Linked DNA regions of Ovis aries. The protein of the gene in region 2 interacts with the protein of the main gene of each other region in a biochemical or structural test. Links are inferred from orthologs where the notes say so. Each region holds a gene or a part of one and is shown on either strand. Other genes may lie near its edges.

Region 1 (9,320 bases), on a different chromosome or scaffold from region 2:
AGTCTCCCTTGACGCCTAGTCCTGTAGTGCATGGTTAGTCTGATCTGGGAATTTGTAAGGGCTTTGAGTTGGGGTCTTGACTGTTTCTTTTTCGTACATCCATCCCCGTTTTATTTTTGTGAGAACTTGGGAGCCTGAACTTCTACCCACACTTCTGTACAGAGATTTGAGTACTGACAACTTTCATCTCTAAAGAAAAAGAAATGTAGGGGTGTATGTGGATTGGAGTCATTGATATCCTAGGCAAGAAACATGGAAGTAAAGGCTTCTTTCTCTGCAAGGGAAACCGATGATCCCACTCCTGGTGACAGGGAAACTTGTTACTTGTATTCCCATGTGTCCGCTAAAGGAGCTGTCAATGGTTAACCTGACTTGAGCTTCCAGGAATTGGCTACTTTCTCTTCCTGTATTCTCTAGTCACTTGAATCCACGAACTTGACTTGTACTAATCTGACGGACTGTAATGATTTTGTGTGTGACTTGGTTCATGGGGCTCTCTGAAGTGTGCAGACCTTTTGGACAAAGTACAGTACACTCGACAGTGGTCTCCCACCCACTTGCTCCACTGTCCCCCTTCCTCCGGTTACTTGTCCAGCTGGACCGTCTTTCCTCCCCTTCCTGCTGAAGCTGAAGTAAAACCTTAGATTTGATGTTAGAACATTTGTCAAGTCTGTTGGTAAATAACGATTGGAGGCACCCTTCTCTGTCTCTCTTGAGAAGGGGAGGAATGTCAGTGTGTTACTCCTTTTGGGGAAAAAGTAAGTTTTTAAAAAAGAGTTTGTGTATGGTAAGTATTCAGAGGGGGGGTGGGGGCAGTGCCATAAACCTTACAGAAATAAGGAAAACTCTTGTGTGCGTGTGTTTATAATGCAAAACTTTAAAAAAAGAAAAGCAACTGTTATGTGACTGTTAACTTGCTCTGCATTTTATGTGCCACAGGTATGAAAGGTGACATTGCAAAATACTCCGCTCTTCTCGCAGTGTAGAAGGGGTGACCCCGGGGGTGGGGAGAGATCAAAACCAGCTCAGTAGTTAGGGAAGGGCTTAGCTAAGTTTTGTCTCGCTTTAAGGGGAAATTGCCTTTGGTTTTGACTTTTTATGGAAAGGGGTTGGGTCTGCTTGCTGCTTTCAAAGCAAAAAAAAAAAAAAAATCACAAAAATGTGTTCAGGGCTACCCCAGCCTGGTGTGAAGTGTCTTCTGGGTAAACTGGGGGTAGGGTTTTTTAAACCAACTACTGGGTTGGCAACTGCTTGCGACAAGAGGAAAAACATCTGCTACGTCGGAAGAACGGCCAAGGAAAATGGGTCATTTTTTTTTTTTTCCTAGAGGAAATAGATATATAACCTTTTAAGCAAAATCCTTAACAATTGTGTCTGAGAAATTGCACACGTGTGTGTGACATGCTCACAGGTCAGACAAGGGTTGGTCAGGAAGGGGAATGTATTTTAGTAGCCACTTGCATTATCATTTTCCCAAAACACCTACCTATGTTTGGGGAATGTTGAACAAAACCAAAAACCGCCCTTTTGTAGCCGTTGGAAGCTTCATGTCCTTTCTTCTAACTTGTCTTCTCCAGCGGAAGTGACCGTGGTGGCTTCAATAAATTTGGTGGTAAGTGAACAGAGTTTCCAAAATTCCCAACTCCCAGCAATGCTTTGTCTGATTGTTCATTTGCAGTTGTCTTAGCGTGTTTTAAGTGTCAAAAGTTTTGGAGTGTCCATATCCACCTCCAGAAAGGGGTGGGGTGGAATGCCACCTGCTGCCAGATGTGTGCTAACCTGGAGGCAGGCAGGGAGTAAGACTCAGCAGTCGTCTGGTACCAAATTGGTTTGACCCAGGTTAATAAGCGGTGTTTAGGAGGCCTCTTGACGAGTGTCGCCACACCCGGCAGTTAGTGACCACCGTTGCGAGAAACTGGAGAGTGTGCTGGAGCATGTGGTGCCAACTTGGCTTTAGGATCGATCCTTTGATCAGTGTGTCCGAGGCTTGTGTGTGTGTGTGTGTGTGTGTGTGTGTGACAACCTCCAAACATTTTAATTCTGGACGAGGGATGAAGTATTGCCCTGCCCTGAGGATGGTGACGTTGGTATATATTTATGTATTAAATACTGAATGGTGTCAATGCAATCCTACATACACGTATTTAAACTCAACTCAGATGGGCTAAATAGCAACTAGCTCTGGGCAGGAAGGTGTGAACTGCTTCCAAGAAAGGTTGGGAGCATGTGTGGCTCATGGGAAATAATCAGGTCTTAATAACAGCACAAACTGAATTCATGGAAAAATGGCAAATTGGAGAAGTCTCCCAGTAAGCTGGAACTTTTCTGGTCTGGTTAACTAACAAAGGGTTTCTTGATTTGTCTCAACATGTAAAGCCAAAGGCTTGGGTTCATGATTTAGGTGTGTCATTGAGTGTGGGTACAACATTTATATATGGTGAATTCAGATAAACTTTGGGCGAAGATGGTCTCTGGAAAAAAAAAAATAGAGGCTGCATTATGGAAATAAGATTTCTGGTCTGTTCCCTGGGACATGCTTAAAACATACAATAGCTATTTTGTATGGTTTTTATTTTCATGTGGTTTTTGGGGAAACAACATGGTTTTAAGACTGGTTTCGAAAGATGACATTAAAAATTGTTCTACAAGGGATAAGTGTCTTTGGTGCTAAAGTTTGGAGAAACTGTATGAATGCATATCACATTGCTGGTGGTGAGCCCATTTCTCTCTGGGGCGAGAGAAGAGGGCCAAGCTATGAGTTGGTTTGTTAACTTCAATGGGTCTCCCTCCTGGCCCTCCCAGTCTGTGCTGAGGACATTTCCCAGCCTGAGCTGGGGGAGGCAGCATTTTCTGAAGTGTGGAGTTGTCCCTGTGGGGACTCAAGTTACATGCAGACCTTAAGAAAAGGGGCCTGTGTCTTTCCCAGACCTGCCTAGGGTTTTCTCTGGGCAGGCGACCCAGAACAGGGTTTGGAGTGAGGCTGGCTGTGAGCACTTACCTGATATTTTGCAAAAGTTTGGATTTGGTGTTAATTATTTTGCTTGTCTTTCTCAGCCTCTTAACTAACGGCTCCTCTTTCCTTGTTTTTTTGTTTTTTTGTTTTTGTTTTTTCTTCTATGTCATTTAAGGCCCTCGGGACCAAGGATCACGTCATGACTCTGGTAAGTCCGCAGGTGGCAGGAAAGAAAGGCAAAAGTGGTAGCAGGACTTTCCTTGGATGTTGTTCAAACTTAAGGGAATCTGAAGAAGAGCGGGGCTAGAGAAGAGCGGGGAAGAGCGTTTAGTTAGGAGTAGCTGTGTTGAATAGTGTATTTAACAAGAAAGACACAGGGACGCACTTAGTGTATGTGTTGTTTTGATGATGTTTGTATAGGGCTTCCCTGGTGGGAATGCTGCGTTTTAGTGTAAAATTAGTTTCTTTGGGGGTCTTCAACTGAAAGTTGACAAACACTGGTGTGGTCTTGGGCAGTTAAATCCTGAGCCCTGGATTCTTTTACGAATTTCAACATATTTTAAGGGGTAGTTGTAAACCTAAATTTTAATTGGTGAAGCGGCTAGCATACAGGCACTCATAATGAAGTAGAGTTGGAGATTTGTCGGACCTACAGCACCAGTGCTTTATATTAATTGGTTTAGAAATTTTCTTTCTTGGAAAGCTAACTATCAAGTATCAAAGTTCAGGTTACTAAGTGTCACTGACTTATTTTATCTCTGGTTGTTTTCTGTCTCCATGTTTCCTGCTGTGTTGGGCAAGCAGAACAGGATAATTCAGACAACAACACCATCTTCGTGCAAGGGCTGGGCGAGAATGTTACAATTGAGTCTGTAGCTGATTACTTCAAGCAGATTGGTATCATTAAGGTACTTATGGGAACTTCTCTGGCAGGCCAGTGGCTAGGACTCCTCGCATCTACTGCAAGGGCACGGGTTTGATTCCTCATTGGGGAACTAAGATCCCCCCGGCCCCAATAAAGAGTGGCTATGTCCCCCCCAGCCCCGAAAGGTACTTCTGGGGCAGAGTGGATACATTCTATTAGTGCTGCAGGCTTTGGGATTTCATACCTTAGTGAAAATAGAAATCTTAATGGTTGCCTGCTTCATTTGTTGAGGAAAAAGCATTAACTGTTGCCATTCCAAAGGGAATCATTTTAACACAAAAAGGTACAATTGATTAAAAAGATGATTAAAACTTTTGAATTGTAGTCTATAATCTTTGTCATTTAATATTGAAGGGAGAAGCAGTTAACAGTCGATGGCTTTCTTTCAAGTTATGTATGAAATAGGAAGGTATGGTTTTGATAGTGCTGTATTCTCTGATAGACTGATGTGATCTCATGTTGCTTTCTTCAGACAAATAAGAAAACAGGACAGCCCATGATTAATCTGTACACAGACAGGGAAACAGGCAAGCTGAAGGGAGAGGCCACCGTATCATTTGATGATCCACCTTCCGCCAAAGCAGCTATTGACTGGTTTGATGGTATGTCTGAGGAGGCTGGGGGAGAGGGCAGCTAGCTTGGGGAAACAGGCTGCATTTTGAGGGTTTCTTTGAGTCTTCCAAGACTTAACAGCACTACCCTGTTGGTGTAGTCTTATATTTGGTTATGTTTCGTGAGATTGTAAACATTTGTAAGAAGGCAGAGTCTTCTCTTGATTGTACCAGGTATACTTTGGGACCCACAGGTCATAGGTCTTAATTAGAAGTCTCTTTTATACCTCCTTTATTTCTTATAGGTAAAGAATTCTCTGGGAATCCTATCAAGGTCTCATTTGCTACTCGGCGAGCAGACTTCAATCGGGGTGGTGGCAATGGTCGTGGAGGCCGAGGGCGAGGAGGTAAGGAGCTCTTTGTGTTGCTGTAAAGAAGTGATGGGGAGAGAAGAGGGAAGGAGGATGGTAAGGGCTTGTGTGGGAAAGACAGGTTAACCACACTTGGAAGGTGAGCAGACCTGTTCTTCGCTCTGTTCTAGGACCTATGGGCCGTGGAGGCTATGGAGGTGGTGGCAGCGGCGGCGGTGGCCGAGGAGGATTCCCCAGTGGCGGTGGCGGTGGCGGAGGACAGCAGCGAGCAGGGGACTGGAAGTGTCCTAATCCGTGAGTGAAACTGCTTAATTTTTTTCTCAGCCCTCTTGTACATGTGCCCTTTGATGTTAAGTTATGTGCCAAGTTGTTGCTTCAGTCCTGTCTGACTCTGCAACCCCAAGGACTGTGGATTGCCATTCCCTTCCCCAGGGGGTTTTCCCAACCTGGGGATCAAACCCAAGCCTCTTATGTCTCCTGTGTTGGCAGGCAGGTTCTTTACCCACTAGCACCACCTTGACCTTAGGACAGAGCTTGTAGTTCTGCTAATGTCAGGGATAGGCGTGGTTGGGAATCATCTAGACTGGGCTCAGTAACCTGCAGTCTTTGTCTCTGCTCCTGAGAAACGGGCCTCTTTGCTTTTCCGAGGCCTCATTTTCCTCACGTATCCCTGGGGTCACTGGAATTTTCATAATTCTAGGTCTTGGCCATTTCCACCCCCCTCCTACACACATTAATTGTCTTATTTTTCCTTAGTACCTGTGAAAACATGAACTTCTCTTGGAGGAATGAATGTAACCAGTGTAAGGCCCCTAAACCAGATGGCCCAGGAGGGGGACCAGGAGGCTCTCATATGGGTAAGGAAGAGGCAGAGCTGGTGTTGGGATCTGCAAGGAGGCTAGACAGGGGGAGGGAGGAGGGGTCTGGGGGATGTGATAGAGGGTTGAATCATGTTTCTTTATTTCCTAGGGGGTAACTACGGAGATGATCGTCGTGGTGGCAGAGGAGGCTATGATCGGGGTGGCTACCGAGGCCGAGGAGGGGACCGTGGGGGCTTCCGAGGGGGCCGGGGTGGTGGGGACAGAGGTGGTTTCGGCCCTGGCAAGATGGACTCCAGGTAAGTAAGACTAAATTGAAAGGGAACTAGAGCAGTTGACCAGAGGTCATGGGATTGCAGGGTTTGGGGAGCGTGGTTTCATTTTGAGGGCGGGGTTGGGAAGCTGAGACTTGGGTAGGAGACAAGGGAAGGAGACTTACCTGGGGGAGCTAGTCTGGATGCCCATGTGCACTCCGTGCCCAGGGAGACGAGCTGTCTCTCGGGGTGGGTAGCAGGGCAGGTTGGGTTTTGGGGGTGGATGGGTAGAGAGGTTGGAACCCAGACCTCATGGATGCTCTTTCTTGCAGGGGTGAGCACAGACAGGATCGCAGGGAGAGGCCGTACTAGCCTGGCTCCCGAGGCCTTGGAGCAGCTTTCTTCCTGTACCCAGTGTTACTGCCCTCATTATTTTGTAACCTTCCACCTCCTGATCACCCACGGGTTTTTTGTGTCGGACTATGTAACTGTAACCATACCTCTGGTTCCCATTAAAAACCATCATTTTAGTTAAATTTTCTTCCTTTACCCCCTCTTCACTCTCCTGGAGCGTGGATGTCCAGGTCAAGAACGTGGGGAGTTTTTCCTCTATTCAGATCAACCAACCTGCCTTGTGGGAACTGGAATAAATTTATTTGTTCCCGCTCAGCAGGAACTGGAATAAAGTGTTTGATACTTGGTTCAGGGGAGCAAAGGTCAAGTGTATCCTTGAAAGTAGAGATTAAACTTCTCTATTCACAGTCAAAATCAGATGAATGAAAGGGGTAAATGAAAAACATCGTGTGTTGCCCCCCATTTTTGTCCAGCCATGTGGAAATTTTTCTTCTGTGTTGATTGATGTGCTGATTTTTGTGGGCTTATTTTTAGCAGTTTTGTTCCTTTTAAGGAGTTCTGGCACTTTTCTAAGGGTGGGGCTCAAACAAACTTTGAGGGTGATACTCAAGTTTGATTGACCCTGATTAGATCATGTAGTTAACCAGTTGGTTTTTTTTTCCCAGGAAGGGGAGAAACAAACTGAGCACCTGCCTAGTGGCAGATAGGCTGTTCACAAGTTTTTGCAGATGGAAAACGAAGTGCCTGGGTTCTGTAGCTCTCACAGTCAGGAAATGGTTTGACGCCAGGATGCAGTCCTTGTCATCTTCCAACTTGATTTTCATTTCTTGGCGTTTCTTTCTGAAACAAATTCCTACCCCACTTATTTGCTTCAGTTCAGTTCAGTCGCTCAGTCGTGTCCGACTCTACGATCCCATGAATTGCAGCACGCCAGGCCTCCCTGTCCATCACCAACTCCCGGAGTTCACTCAGACTCATGTCCACTGAGTCAGTGATGCCTTCCAGCCATCTCATCCTCTGTCGTCCCCTTCTCCTGCCTCCAATCCCTCCCAGCATCAGTCTTTTTTCCAATGAGTCAACTCTTTAAATGAGGTGGTCAAAGTACTGGAGTTTCAGCTTTAGCATCATTCCTTCCAAAGAAATCCCAGGGCTGATCTCTTTCAGAATGGACTGGTTGGATCTCCTTGCAGTCCAAGGGACTCTCAAGAGTCTTCTCCAACACCACAGTTGAAAAGCATCAATTCTTTAGCGCTCAGCCTTATTCACAGTTCAACTCTCACATCCATACATTGCTCCATACATGACTATCTCAAATCCATACATGATCATTTTCTGAATGTTGAGCTTTAGGCCAACTTTTTCACTCCTGTTTCATCAAGAGGCTTTTTACTTCCTCTTCACTTTCTGCCATAAGGGTGGTGTCATCTGCATATCTGAGATTATTGATATTTCCCCTGGCAATCTTGATTCCAGCTTGTGTTTCTTCCAGTCCAGCGTTTCTCCTGATGTGCTCTGCATAGAAGTTAAATAAGCAGGGTGACAATATACAGCCTCGACGTACTCCTTTTCCTATTTGGAACCAGTCTGTTCCATGTCTAATTCTAACTGTTGCTTCCTGACCTGCATACAGATTTCTCAAGAGGCAGGTCAGGTGGTCTGGTATTCCCATCATAGAATTTTCCACAATTTATTGTGATCCACACAGACAAAGGCTTTGGCATAGTCAATAAAGCAGAAATAGATGTTTTTTTGGAACTCATGCCTTTCCATGATCCAGCAGATGTTGGCAATTTGATTTCTGGTTCCTCTGCCTTTTCTAAAACCAGCTTGAACATCTGGAAGTTCACGGTTCACGGCTTCATTGCTGAAGCCTGGCTTGGAGAATTTTGAGCATTACTTTACTAGCATGTGAGATGAGTGCAATTGTGCGGTAGTTTGAGCATTCTTTGGCATTGCCTTTCTTTGGGATTGGAATGAAAACTGACCTTTTCCTGTCCTGTGGCCACTGCTGAACTTTCCAAATTTGCTGGCATATCTTTCAGGATTTGAAATAGCTCAACTGGAATTCTATCACCTCCACTAGCTTTGTTCGTAGTGATGCCCACTTAACTTCACATTCCAGGATGTCTGGCTCTAGATGAGTGATCACACCATCATGATTATCCGGGGCGTGAAGGTCTTTTTTGTACAATTCTGTGTATCCTTGCCACCTCTTAATATCTTCTGCTTCTGTTAGGTCCATACCATTTCTGTCCTTTATTGAGCCCATCTTTGCATGAAATGTTCCCTTGGTATCTTTGATTTTCTTGAAGAGATCTCTAGTCTTTCCCATTCTGTTTTTTTCCTCTATTTCTTTGCATTGATCGCTGAAGAAAGCTTTCTTATCTCTTCTTGCTATTCATTGGAACTCTGCCTTCAGATGCTTATATCTTTCCTTTTCTCCTTTGCTTTTCGCCTCTCTTCTTTTCACAGCTATTTGTAAGGCCTTCCCAGACAGCCATTTTGCTTTTTTGCATTTCTTTTCCATGGGAATGGCCTTGATCCCTGTCTCCTGTACACTGTCACGAACCTTATTCCATAGTTCATCAGGCACTCAATCAGATCTAGGCCCTTAAATCTATTTCTCACTTCTTTCACTGTATAATCATAGGGATTTGATTTAGGTCATACCTGAATGTAGGCCTGGCTTAAGAGGATGCTGAATTTTAGGAAGAAAGACTTGGGAATGAGATAAGATGGTGAAAGGGGAAGGTTAGCTGAGAAAGTAAGATAAGGCTCCCTCCCCACAACACTAGTTTTCCTGAAGGTGGGACTCCGGGTATTGTCTGTTGAGACTGGTGTAATTAGGTCTCATTCACATCTGCCAGTACTCAAAAGTCTTTGGTATTTTGAGAAAGGGAAGGGGTTAGGCCAATGAGTTGCCACCTCAATAGTGCCCCTTAACCTGATATATATTTCCTGACCCCAGAAAACTACCCCCTCCTTCCAGCTCAAAACTTGAATTTAGGAAACTTGCCCACTCTTGCCAAGCAGTTGAAATTTGGCTACACAGAACTTATAACCAACAGCAAACAGTGTTTTTTGTTGTCAGAAG
Region 2 (9,761 bases):
TAAAGGACTAAGTAGAGGAGATTTGCTTCAGGGACCTCTCTAGTTTATAAATTGGGGAAAGAACCAATTCATTCCTTCTGGATATATTCATTTCGGACACCTACAAACTCCTGTCACCTGAACAGCTATCTCCAGAACAAAGCTGTGCTCTTCCTTCACAGGGCATCCAGAACGCCATCCGCTTCTCATTTTTCTCTTCACTCCGCTCCTTCTGAGCCTTTTTTGCTGGTTTCTCCTCATTTACCTGTCTACCAGAGGTTGTCACCTTCTTAGGGCTATCACCCCCTTCACTGAATTATGTTTGTAAACGCTTAAAATGAAAAGTACAGGATTACAAAGGAAGCCAAGTACAGTCAAGCCTCCGTATTCACAGATTCCGTATTTTCAAATTCACCTACTCTTAAACATTTATCTGTAGTCCCCAAACGAGTACTCACGTGCCTTTGCACTCACTGGTAGGCGTGCACGTGCTCAGAGCAGTAAACAGTCGGACCGACCCAGTGGGCACCTTTCAGCTCAGGTCGGGCGAGGCAAGGCTGCCTTCCTGTTGCAGTTCTCACACTGTGTACAAACATCCTTTCCACATTCTATATTCAGTGCCACATTTTTCACGTTTCTGTGCTATTTGTGGTGATTCCACTGTCCCAAAGAGCCCCAAAGCATAGCCGGAAGGTCCTAGCGAGCATTCCTAAGTGAAGGAAGGCTGCCATGAACCACAATTCAATGCAGTCTGTTGTAGATCATTTTTGTTACTGTAGGCTGCAAGACCAATGCGAATAGGCCCACTATACATTAAATAATGTGTCTACAAACAGAAAATACACAGAAAACCTGATTATATTTTGATGGGTTGATGAAAGTGTTGTGACAAGACACCTGTGGCAACCTGACCCGGTATCTCCCCTGGGATCAGGGTGGAACAGGGTGTTCACCAATTCTGTGTTTGTGATGACTTTGTGGGGTGTAACTAGCGCAAATAAGGATCCAGTGTGGAAATAAAGCTTTCAAGATTAATATAAAAATTAGTGGTATAATAATAGACATGCCTCCTCATTAATTAAAAACACCTAGGGTGGGTCTCATAACCATGATTTCTAAGTAGAGCAGGAATGACATTTGGAGATGGATCAGATCATATGCGTTTAGCAGCTCACGAGAACGCATTTATTAATTGCAGTTTCTGTGTGTCAGGGGCATGGGCGCAGCTTCGCCGGGCGCTTGGCTCTTGGTGTGGCTATGCTGCTATCAAGGTCTCAGCTTGTCTCACCTGAGGCTGGGGGCCTCTTGCTAGCGCTTGTTTTAGCAGAGTCATTGCGGCCTCATAGAGACACCCGACTCTTCATTTTGACTCAGGTCTGGTAACCACCTTTCTAATCACATGAACTCCCCCGTGATCTTGTCCATTTCGTGGTCTGCGACCTAATGCAGCACTGGCCAATAGAAATATAACATGAGCCATATGTGTTATTTAGAATATAACAGTAGCCCCATGAAAGCGAAGTAAAAAAGTTAAATTAATTTTAACCATAATTTTTATTTACCACATTTATCCAAAATAGAATCATTTCAGCATGTAATCAATATTAAAAATGCAAATGAAGTATTACAGATTCTTTTTTTACATAAAGTCTTCAGAATCTGGTGTGCATTTTTACAGCCATAGCATATCTCAGCTGACACTTGTCATGGGCCATTACTCAGTAGTCCCATGTGGCTGCCATCTTGGAGAATGAAGAATCTGACACTTGATGGCTCCCCCAGTTTTGCTTCCAGCCCAGACCACCCCCCTGTACTCTCTGTGGTGTGGAATTTGCTCAGTCGTATCCGACTCTTTGCGACCCTATGGACTGTACCCTGCCAGGCTCCTCTGTTATGGAATTCCCCAGACAAGAATACTGGAGTGGGTTGCCATTCCCTTCTCTAGGGGATCTTCCCTATCCAGGGATCAAACCCTGGGTCTCCTGCATTACAAGGAGACCCTTTACCATCTGAGCCACCAGGAAAGCCCCTGTACTCTATACCCAGTGACATTAGTTTATTCCCTAATGTTGTAGAGAGAATGTGTTATAATTTTTCCTTCTTTATAGCAACACAAGAGCAAAAGTAATTGATTGGGTTAATTGGAATTCAGAAGGAAAAAAAAGATAAGACACAAAAACCCTGCTGAAACATTTGGAGAAATAGAAAAGAAAAAAAAAATTCCACACAACATACAATGTAAGGGTCAAGATGTGGGTTCAGATAAAGTCTCTGCTTTTCAACAGACAACATTAAGAAAAGGAAAAGACAGGTCACAGATTGGGAGAAAAATGTAAAGTCAGTATACCTAAAAGAGACCTGTATCTAGACGCTATAAAGAACGTTTACAATTGGTGAATAAGAAAACAACTCTGTTTGCAAAAATACACAAAAGAATTGAGCAGACACTTGACAAAAGAAAATATACAAATAGGGGAACTTCCCAGGTGGTGGAGTGGTTAAGGACCCGCCTTCCACTGCAGGAGGTGTGAGTTCCATCCCTGGTTGGGAATCTTGCAGCAACTACTGAGCCCACATGCTCTGGAACCTGTGCACAATAACTAAAACCCGAAGCAGCCAAATTTAAAAAAAAAAAAAAATTTTTATTTTAAAGAAAGAAAACATGCAAATTGCCGATAAGCACACGAAAACACGAAAAGGTGCTGAACAACATTGGCGGTCAGGGCAATAATGCAAGTCACAACCAGGAGATAATCTCTTCCTACACAGGAGAGTCGTTAAAATTATAGACTGATTTTATTAAGTGCTGGAGGGGATGTGGAGCACCTAGAACTCTCACGCATCACTGATGGAAATGCAAATTGGTAGAATACCATAGGAAACTTTGGGGCAGTTTCTTATCAAGTTAAACATACACCTAGCATAGGACGCGCAAGCATGTCCTCCTAGCTTGACCCAAGAGAACTGAAAGTGTACATCTACAGAAAGGTTGGGACACGATGGTTTATGGCCTCTTTATTCATAACAGCCCTAATCTGGAAACCACCCACATGTCCACCAAGAGGAAAATGTGATCCAGCAATACAATGGAATACTCCTCAGCAATAAAAAGGGCTGGACAATCGTTATATGAGACATGAACGAATCTTGAAAACATTATGCTGAGAAAAACAAGACAGGCACAAAAGAGCACATACTTTTATTGGAAAATTTAGCAGCTGAAAAGATACACTATAGTAACGAAACAGTGATTGCTTCTGGGGTTGGGTGGGAGGGCGGTGTTGAAAGGGTCGTGAAGGAACTTTCTAGGGTGATGGGATACATTCCCCAAGTAGCAGTTACCTTCATTCAACAAGTAACTTTTTCTACAGGTCGAGGGAAGCTACCTGGAGGAGGTGGCGACTGAGTTATGCCGGGACTGACTCATGAAGGCCAGACGAAGGGGGTGGGTGTTCCAGCATGGGTAGGACTTGGCAAAGGCCAAGTGCTTGAGTGGGGTCACTGGGTTTTAAAAACTTGTAACAATTAAGTAGAGGGCTAAAGATTAAACACCTCGACGCCTGAGTCCCATTTCTGACTTGATTCAGGATCACGGATAAGACCTCTTTGAGCCTCTCACTGCTTCAGTTTTCCATCAGGAAAATGGGCACAAGCTCCCTTATTTCCCGTTGGATTCCCTACAAGCTGGGAGAAGCCACAGAGTGAACGGTGAGTGACAGTTTGTTTGAGCCAATCTCTGGAGCCTAAAGCCTGCTTTCCTTTTTCGTGGGCCAATCGTCACGTTCTCCTTGAGGCCAGCAGCTTGGCGGAGGCAGGCCGAAAGCCTCATGACGTCACATTGCTAATAAACCAATAGCAGCTATTAAGAGGCGGGTACTTTTGGTGATAGTTCTATTTCAAGATGTCCGCTTAGCGCAGGGTCCGCCGGGAAGCTTTGAGGCGGTACGGGAGAAGGGGCGGGAACTCCCAGTAGATTCTGCCCAATCGTCAGTCGCGCTTCTTGCGATAGACGGGCAGTCTTTCCCATCCCCGTCGACTTAAGGGGGCGGGGTTCGGCACGCCAGAGTAGGCGGGCACCTCAGCTTTGATGGGTGTCTCCTTCGCCCAATGGCTAAATGGTATTTCCAGACGGGTCACCTCCTCTACCAATGAGATCTCCTGGCGGGGTCGCGGTGGGCGGGCCGTAGACCCTCCGGTATAAGGCGGTCCCGGGGGAGTGCGGAGAAAGGGGGGGGGTCTCGGCGGCCGGAGGAGGAGTAGACGCGGGTGAAGATGGCGGCAGCCGAAGCCGCGAACTGCATCATGGAGGTGAGCGCCAGGAGCGCCACCGGGGGCGGGGGGCGGTTTGGAAGTCGGTGTTTTACGCCTCCGCCGTGGGGAAGGGGCTCTGAGTCGCCGGATTGGGGTTGAAGGCCCCTGGCCGTACGGAGGGGGGCGCCGCGTGCTCCGTATCCGAGGATACCGTTTGAACTGCGGGTTCCCTAGCTTTCGGGGGCCTGAGGCGCCACGCCGAGCCGAGGGCCTACTGCCCCCTCCCACGTGGAGGAGGGCTGGGGGCGCTTCCGGCCTGGCCCCCACGTGGCCGTGGCACGGTGGGTGGGGAGGGGGTGTGCCGTGCCCGCTTGCCCGGCGGGTTCCACGTGCGGGACAAAGGCCCCGCCCCCGGCCAGGGGAGGGGCGCCCCGGGGGGGGGCGGAGAGGAGGCTCCGACCCTCCCTCCGAGGCCCCCTACCCTCCTCCCCGGGGATCGTGACGGGCACCTCGGGGTGGGGACCTCCGTGCAGTAATGAGGCTCTTGGGAGGGGCAGTGTGCCTCGACCCTTAACAAACCCTTTCCTGGGACCAGGGCATCTGCTTAGGCATCGGTCCAGGTTTCGTGCGCTCTTGCGTTGGGATTGGAGGAAGACGAAGAATTGGTTCCCTCTGGGACCCCTCCTACCCTCCAGTTTCCTGTCTCTGGATTCTCCCCCTCTTTGGGAGCTGGGGGGATGGGGCATGCCCCTGTGACCTCCCTCTGGTCTATGGGGGGGCATCGAGCGGAAGATCTTTCCCGATTAGGCGCTGTGCACCCCCTTGTGGCCATTTCTGGGTGTGTGGGAGGGACATCTTTTTCATGGGGCGTGTCTCCAAGCCCCCCTCCCTGTCGAAGCCCTCCCGGGCGAGGGGAGAGAGAATCTGTCCTGGGAAGGGCTGTGAGGTAGTGGAGGCAGCGGATTTACCTCCTTCTGGCCCTTCCTCTCCCTGGGGTATTTGTGAAGATGGGAGTTGACCACCTCCTCCCTGAACCCGTGTTTGAGGGTCCTGAACCTGCTTGCGTGAAATGGTGTCCCGTGAGGTGTGATTCTCTTGCAGTTATGTGGGGCTTGCCATGATGCTGTGTCTCAAGCGCTCTGGGGGCATGTCTGGCGGTGATGTCGGTGGTGTAGAGAAATGGGCCCTCAGGGGAAGTCCCCTCACCCGCCGTCTTTCCGTATCCGCGTCATTCACTGGTTTGGGGAGGATGGAGGTGGGGCTTGGAGCCCAGGGGTTATGTCTGTGATTTCACGCTTCTTGGCGCCTGGAGAGTGCTTGCATCTGGAAGAGCTGTAATCTGTTGGGCCCTCCGTACTCTCACCTCTTAGCTTGTAGCAGTCTCAGGAATGGGAGGTGAGGTTCCAAGATGCATACCTTGGGGGGCAGCCCCAGGGGTCACTCCAGTGACTCCCCCTTGGCTCTCTGCTAGACGAAGGCCTTCTTGGCTGGAGGAAATATCTTCCTCAGAGGTGGATCCAGGACTCGGCCCCTCCCCTGGGGAGTTTCTGGGCCTGAGATGGTGGTTCGAACGGGGAGTAGATGGGCTTGGGGGTCCAGGGTCTGGCCTCCTCCGTGGAACTCTGCCCTCCTGCGCAGAGGGTCATAATCAGGAGATTGGCACTCCCTTGTTTTGTTTGGGACTCCCTGAGTCCCAGGCAGGAGCTAGCAGCCCGCATGCCAGCTCTGGTGGGGGGTGCCCGTGTGCCACACCTCCTTTCTGGAATCCTCTCAGATGAGAGAGTGCTTTGCAGAGGTGACAGATGCCCAGTGGGTACACCCTGCCAGTTCCCTTCCCCCAGCTCGAATGGTACCCCAGGATGAGGCTTTGTGTCAGGAAGTGTCATCTAATCTGGGGAGATTAGATGGTGAGGGGGAGTGACAGCTGGCAGTGCCCTTGTGCCCGGCGGGTGCCAGTTCCTCTGGCCTGGATGGGGGAGGCGTGTGTGCTCAGGTGCCTGGCCCAACAGGGGCAGTGTGGGGGCAGGCCACCATCTCTCCAGCCACAGCTGGGATAGAACCCCCTCCCTGCTCCCCCACATCTCCCCCACCCCTGTTGAAAACAGCCTTGCCTCTTTACTTGTTCCTTCTCCCACCACTGCTCACAAAGGAAAAGCAAAATTGTAGGAAACACCTCCTTCTTGCCCAAGAGCCCGGGTCGCCTGGCCTGGCCCTCCCCTAGCCGCTCCTGGTAGCTAATCCTTTCTCCCTGTTACTCTCTCCTAGAATTTTGTAGCCACCTTGGCTAATGGGATGAGCCTCCAGCCGCCTCTTGAAGAAGTAAATATCCTTTTGTGAGACCCCTTCCCACATACACATTTCCTCACACGTCACGCCCTTTTTAGTGGTCTAACTGATCCCTCTGGCTTCAAACCACTTTACCCTTGGCCCCCGAAACACTTAGTCCAGACTCCGTCCAGGTTTGGGCCCCCACCTGGCCTCTCCCAATACTGTGGCTACTTCCTTAACTCCATTTACAGCCCCCCACCCCACCTTTGTCCTTCCCTGTGTCTGCCCCGCTTCCGCCTTCCTCTCCCCTCCCTTCCCCAGCTGTGGGCTGAGCTAGAGACGGGGGCAGACAGACTGGAGAGATGGTAGGCCTGGCTGAGGTATCGGGGGTGCCCTCCTGGATGGTGCTCTGGGGGTGGGGGGTTCCTGGGCGAGGCAAGACGGCAGGTGGGGGCTGTAGGGTTGCCATGGTACGGTTTGGGGAGTGGTTCTGTATACTCCATGGGGGCGTAGACCTGCCTGGAGGCTTCCGAATCTCTGGGGAGCCCCCAGATGTGACCCCGTTTGCTCCCATTCACCCCCTCCCAGGTCTCCTGTGGCCAGGCAGAAAGCAGCGAGAAGCCCAACGCTGAGGACATGACGTCCAAAGATTACTACTTTGACTCCTATGCTCACTTCGGCATCCACGAGGTGAGTATGGACAGACAGCTCCTGAGGGTGCCGAATCTTCCAGGGGGTCATGTTGGGGAGAGCTGGAGATTCATCTCTGACGCATGCGCACTGCCTTCCCTGGCAGCGGGCCACCCCCTCTGCGCAGGCAGAGCTCACACTCCGGGTCGCCTCGCGCAGCCGTTGCCTGGGAGACGGGGTTAGCCTGGCGCTCTACCAGTCCTCTCCTGGGAGGCCGCGGTGGGAGCGCGCATGTGCATCGCATGTGCATCTGAGACGCATGTGCATCTGAGACGTCAGCCCGAGGTCAGGGCCTACCGGTCTTTGCCGCCCTCTAGTGACCGGCAGCGGCTCGAAAGTCTTCTCCACCCCTTTTGCGTGTGGTGGAGGCTGAGGTCCCAGAAAGCAGCAGGGATGGGGTGGGAAGATTTTTCTCTTTCCTTTTTTAAAATATTGTTATAAAATATGCATAACAAAATTTACCATTTTCACGTGGGCGGTTTAATGGCTTTGGCTTACTGAGGACTTTTTAAAGGCAAGGCTTTACAGGGGGTTAGTCGGCAAGGGTAGAAAATGCCTAAGATGGGATTTTGGTCCATCCAGTCCAATTTCACGTAGGGAAACTGAGGCGTGTGGAAGGGAAATAACTTGTCCTAAGGGGACTAAAGCAGGTTTGAGGACTGAGTGCCAGTCTTCAAGTTGATCAGTGTGTTGGAGGCCAGGACACCCTGGTTTTCAGCAGGGGACGCCAGTCCCCTCATGATCTCTTTGTTCCCACCCCTGCCAGGAAATGCTGAAAGATGAGGTCCGCACCCTCACATACCGCAACTCCATGTTTCACAACCGGCACCTTTTCAAAGACAAGGTGGTGCTGGACGTGGGCTCGGGCACAGGGATCCTCTGCATGTTTGCCGCCAAGGCTGGGGCCCGCAAGGTCATCGGGGTGAGTGTCCTCGGCGGCCGGCCAGGCCTGGGCCTAGGGACGGAAAGGGGGCCCCTTGGGGCTCAGGGATTGGGTGGAGGGGAGTGGGGGTGGAGGGTGGCATTTGGGGGGGGGTCTCACCCTCCCTTCTTCCTGGGCCCCCAGATCGAGTGTTCCAGTATCTCTGATTATGCGGTGAAGATCGTCAAAGCCAACAAGTTAGACCATGGTGAGCCCAGGAAGAGAACGGGGTCTTTGGGGAGGGAGCGGGGGATCCCAGCTTCCCCGGGGCCCCTGGCAAGGGAATGGAGGCCATAGAAGTCAAATTCAGGCGTTCCTCCCCCGGTGGGCTCTGGGCTGCGGACAGCCCAAAAATCCAGCCTTCTCAGAACCTACCTCCTGACAAGCCGTCTTAGAATCTGCATGTCGAAGTCACAAGCTTAGTGCTTCAGTCTTTTATTTAAAAAAACAAAAATTTCAAGAAGCAATCTTGAGTTTTTTCAGTGAGTGATAGAGTCACGTGGTTGGCACATGAGGCCCATAGTAAGAAGTCTGCCACCCGCCTCTCAGCCACTCTTCTCTAAGTGCAGACAGCTCTCTCTCCCAGAGAGGTTCATACCGATGAACAAACGTGTGTGTATGTTTCTGCATTCACATGCTGGTTTTTGACACAGATAATGTTTCATACATGCCCTTTGTGATTTTCACCTGTGTATTATGTAGTTTAACACCTGATAGGATGTTGAGAGGATCTTGCTTTTTGATGACTGCCATCCTCTATTTTCACATACACCAGGTCTGTTAACCAAGTTCCTGGTCATGGGCATTTGAGCTTCCAAGACTTTCATCCCCCACCTGTAATGTCATCATCAATCATATATGAACTAATGTTATCTGTGAGGTCAGTTTGTAAAAGTAGGGTTGCATGGATCAAAAGTGGAAGAAAGTTGGGCAGAAGGTGCCACATTGCCCTTCCCACCTGCAAGGTTTGAGGGGCAGAGGACATGGGAACATGTGGGTTTTTTGATATGAGGGCCCTTGGCATTCTAGAAGCTGAAGGGGTTTTTTTTGAAAAAGAAATTAGTGTAATGAATTCCTAAGTTCCCATCACTGAGCTTTAAATACCTCCTTTTGAAGCAAATTCCGACTATAAATCCTGCCATGTGTGTATCTAATAGATTTTAAAAAATATTTAAAAAAGCATGACCACGGGAATTTCCCGGCAGCCCAGTGGTTAGGACTGCTTTCACTGCTAGGGCCCCACTTCGATCCCCCGTCAGGGAACTAAGATCCCACAAGCTACACAGTGCAGACAGAAAAACAAAACGTGACCGTGGCTGTTAGTGGCAAAATCTCTCTCATTTTTAAAAAAAATTTTACTTTGCTGCGTCAGGTCTTAGTTGCAGCGTGCGGGATCTAGTTCCCTGATGAGGGGTTGAACCCCAGTCCCCTGTCCTGGGAGCATGGACTCTTAGCCACTGGACCACCAGGGAATCCCAAGGCTGACTTCCAGTAGATTTTAGGAAGGGAGCTGCTCTGCCCCGTACAAAACCCTGACCCAGAAGCAGGTCATCTGCAAATGGTTTGGCACCAGGTTCCCCATGAGTGTGCGAGGCGTGACGGGTAAGGGGGTGGCTGCCTTTCCCATTCTGTGTCCTAGAGTGAGGGGCTG

Evidence for each region.
Region 1: of the proteins of PRMT1 (region 2) and FUS, one has a biochemical effect on the other in vitro, tested with the Homo sapiens proteins (3 studies listed by BioGRID). The link is inferred for Ovis aries from reciprocal best matches to the Homo sapiens genes PRMT1 and FUS.

What each region holds. Positions count from the first base shown.
Region 1 is NC_056077.1:27,786,472-27,795,791, forward strand, and holds the end of FUS (RNA-binding protein FUS), read left to right. Parts: intron 1-1,577; coding exon 1,578-1,612; intron 1,613-3,128; coding exon 3,129-3,161; intron 3,162-3,757; coding exon 3,758-3,861; intron 3,862-4,350; coding exon 4,351-4,480; intron 4,481-4,734; coding exon 4,735-4,836; intron 4,837-4,970; coding exon 4,971-5,094; intron 5,095-5,556; coding exon 5,557-5,657; intron 5,658-5,769; coding exon 5,770-5,917; intron 5,918-6,204; coding exon 6,205-6,244; 3' UTR 6,245-6,408; downstream 6,409-9,320. UniProt on the Homo sapiens protein: DNA/RNA-binding protein that plays a role in various cellular processes such as transcription regulation, RNA splicing, RNA transport, DNA repair and damage response. Binds to ssRNA containing the consensus sequence 5'-AGGUAA-3'.
Region 2 is NC_056067.1:55,807,269-55,817,029, forward strand, and holds the start of PRMT1 (protein arginine N-methyltransferase 1), read left to right. Parts: upstream 1-4,205; 5' UTR 4,206-4,251; coding exon 4,252-4,287; exon of another isoform or gene 4,288-5,299; coding exon of another isoform or gene 5,300-5,314; intron 5,315-5,494; exon of another isoform or gene 5,495-5,625; intron 5,626-6,493; exon of another isoform or gene 6,494-6,495; coding exon 6,496-6,549; exon of another isoform or gene 6,550-6,553; intron 6,554-6,747; exon of another isoform or gene 6,748-6,860; coding exon of another isoform or gene 6,861-6,863; intron 6,864-7,086; coding exon 7,087-7,188; intron 7,189-7,954; coding exon 7,955-8,110; intron 8,111-8,254; coding exon 8,255-8,318; intron 8,319-9,761. UniProt on the Homo sapiens protein: Arginine methyltransferase that methylates (mono and asymmetric dimethylation) the guanidino nitrogens of arginyl residues present in proteins such as ESR1, histone H2, H3 and H4, FMR1, ILF3, HNRNPA1, HNRNPD, NFATC2IP, SUPT5H, TAF15, EWS, HABP4, SERBP1, RBM15, FOXO1, CHTOP, MAP3K5/ASK1, MICU1 and NPRL2.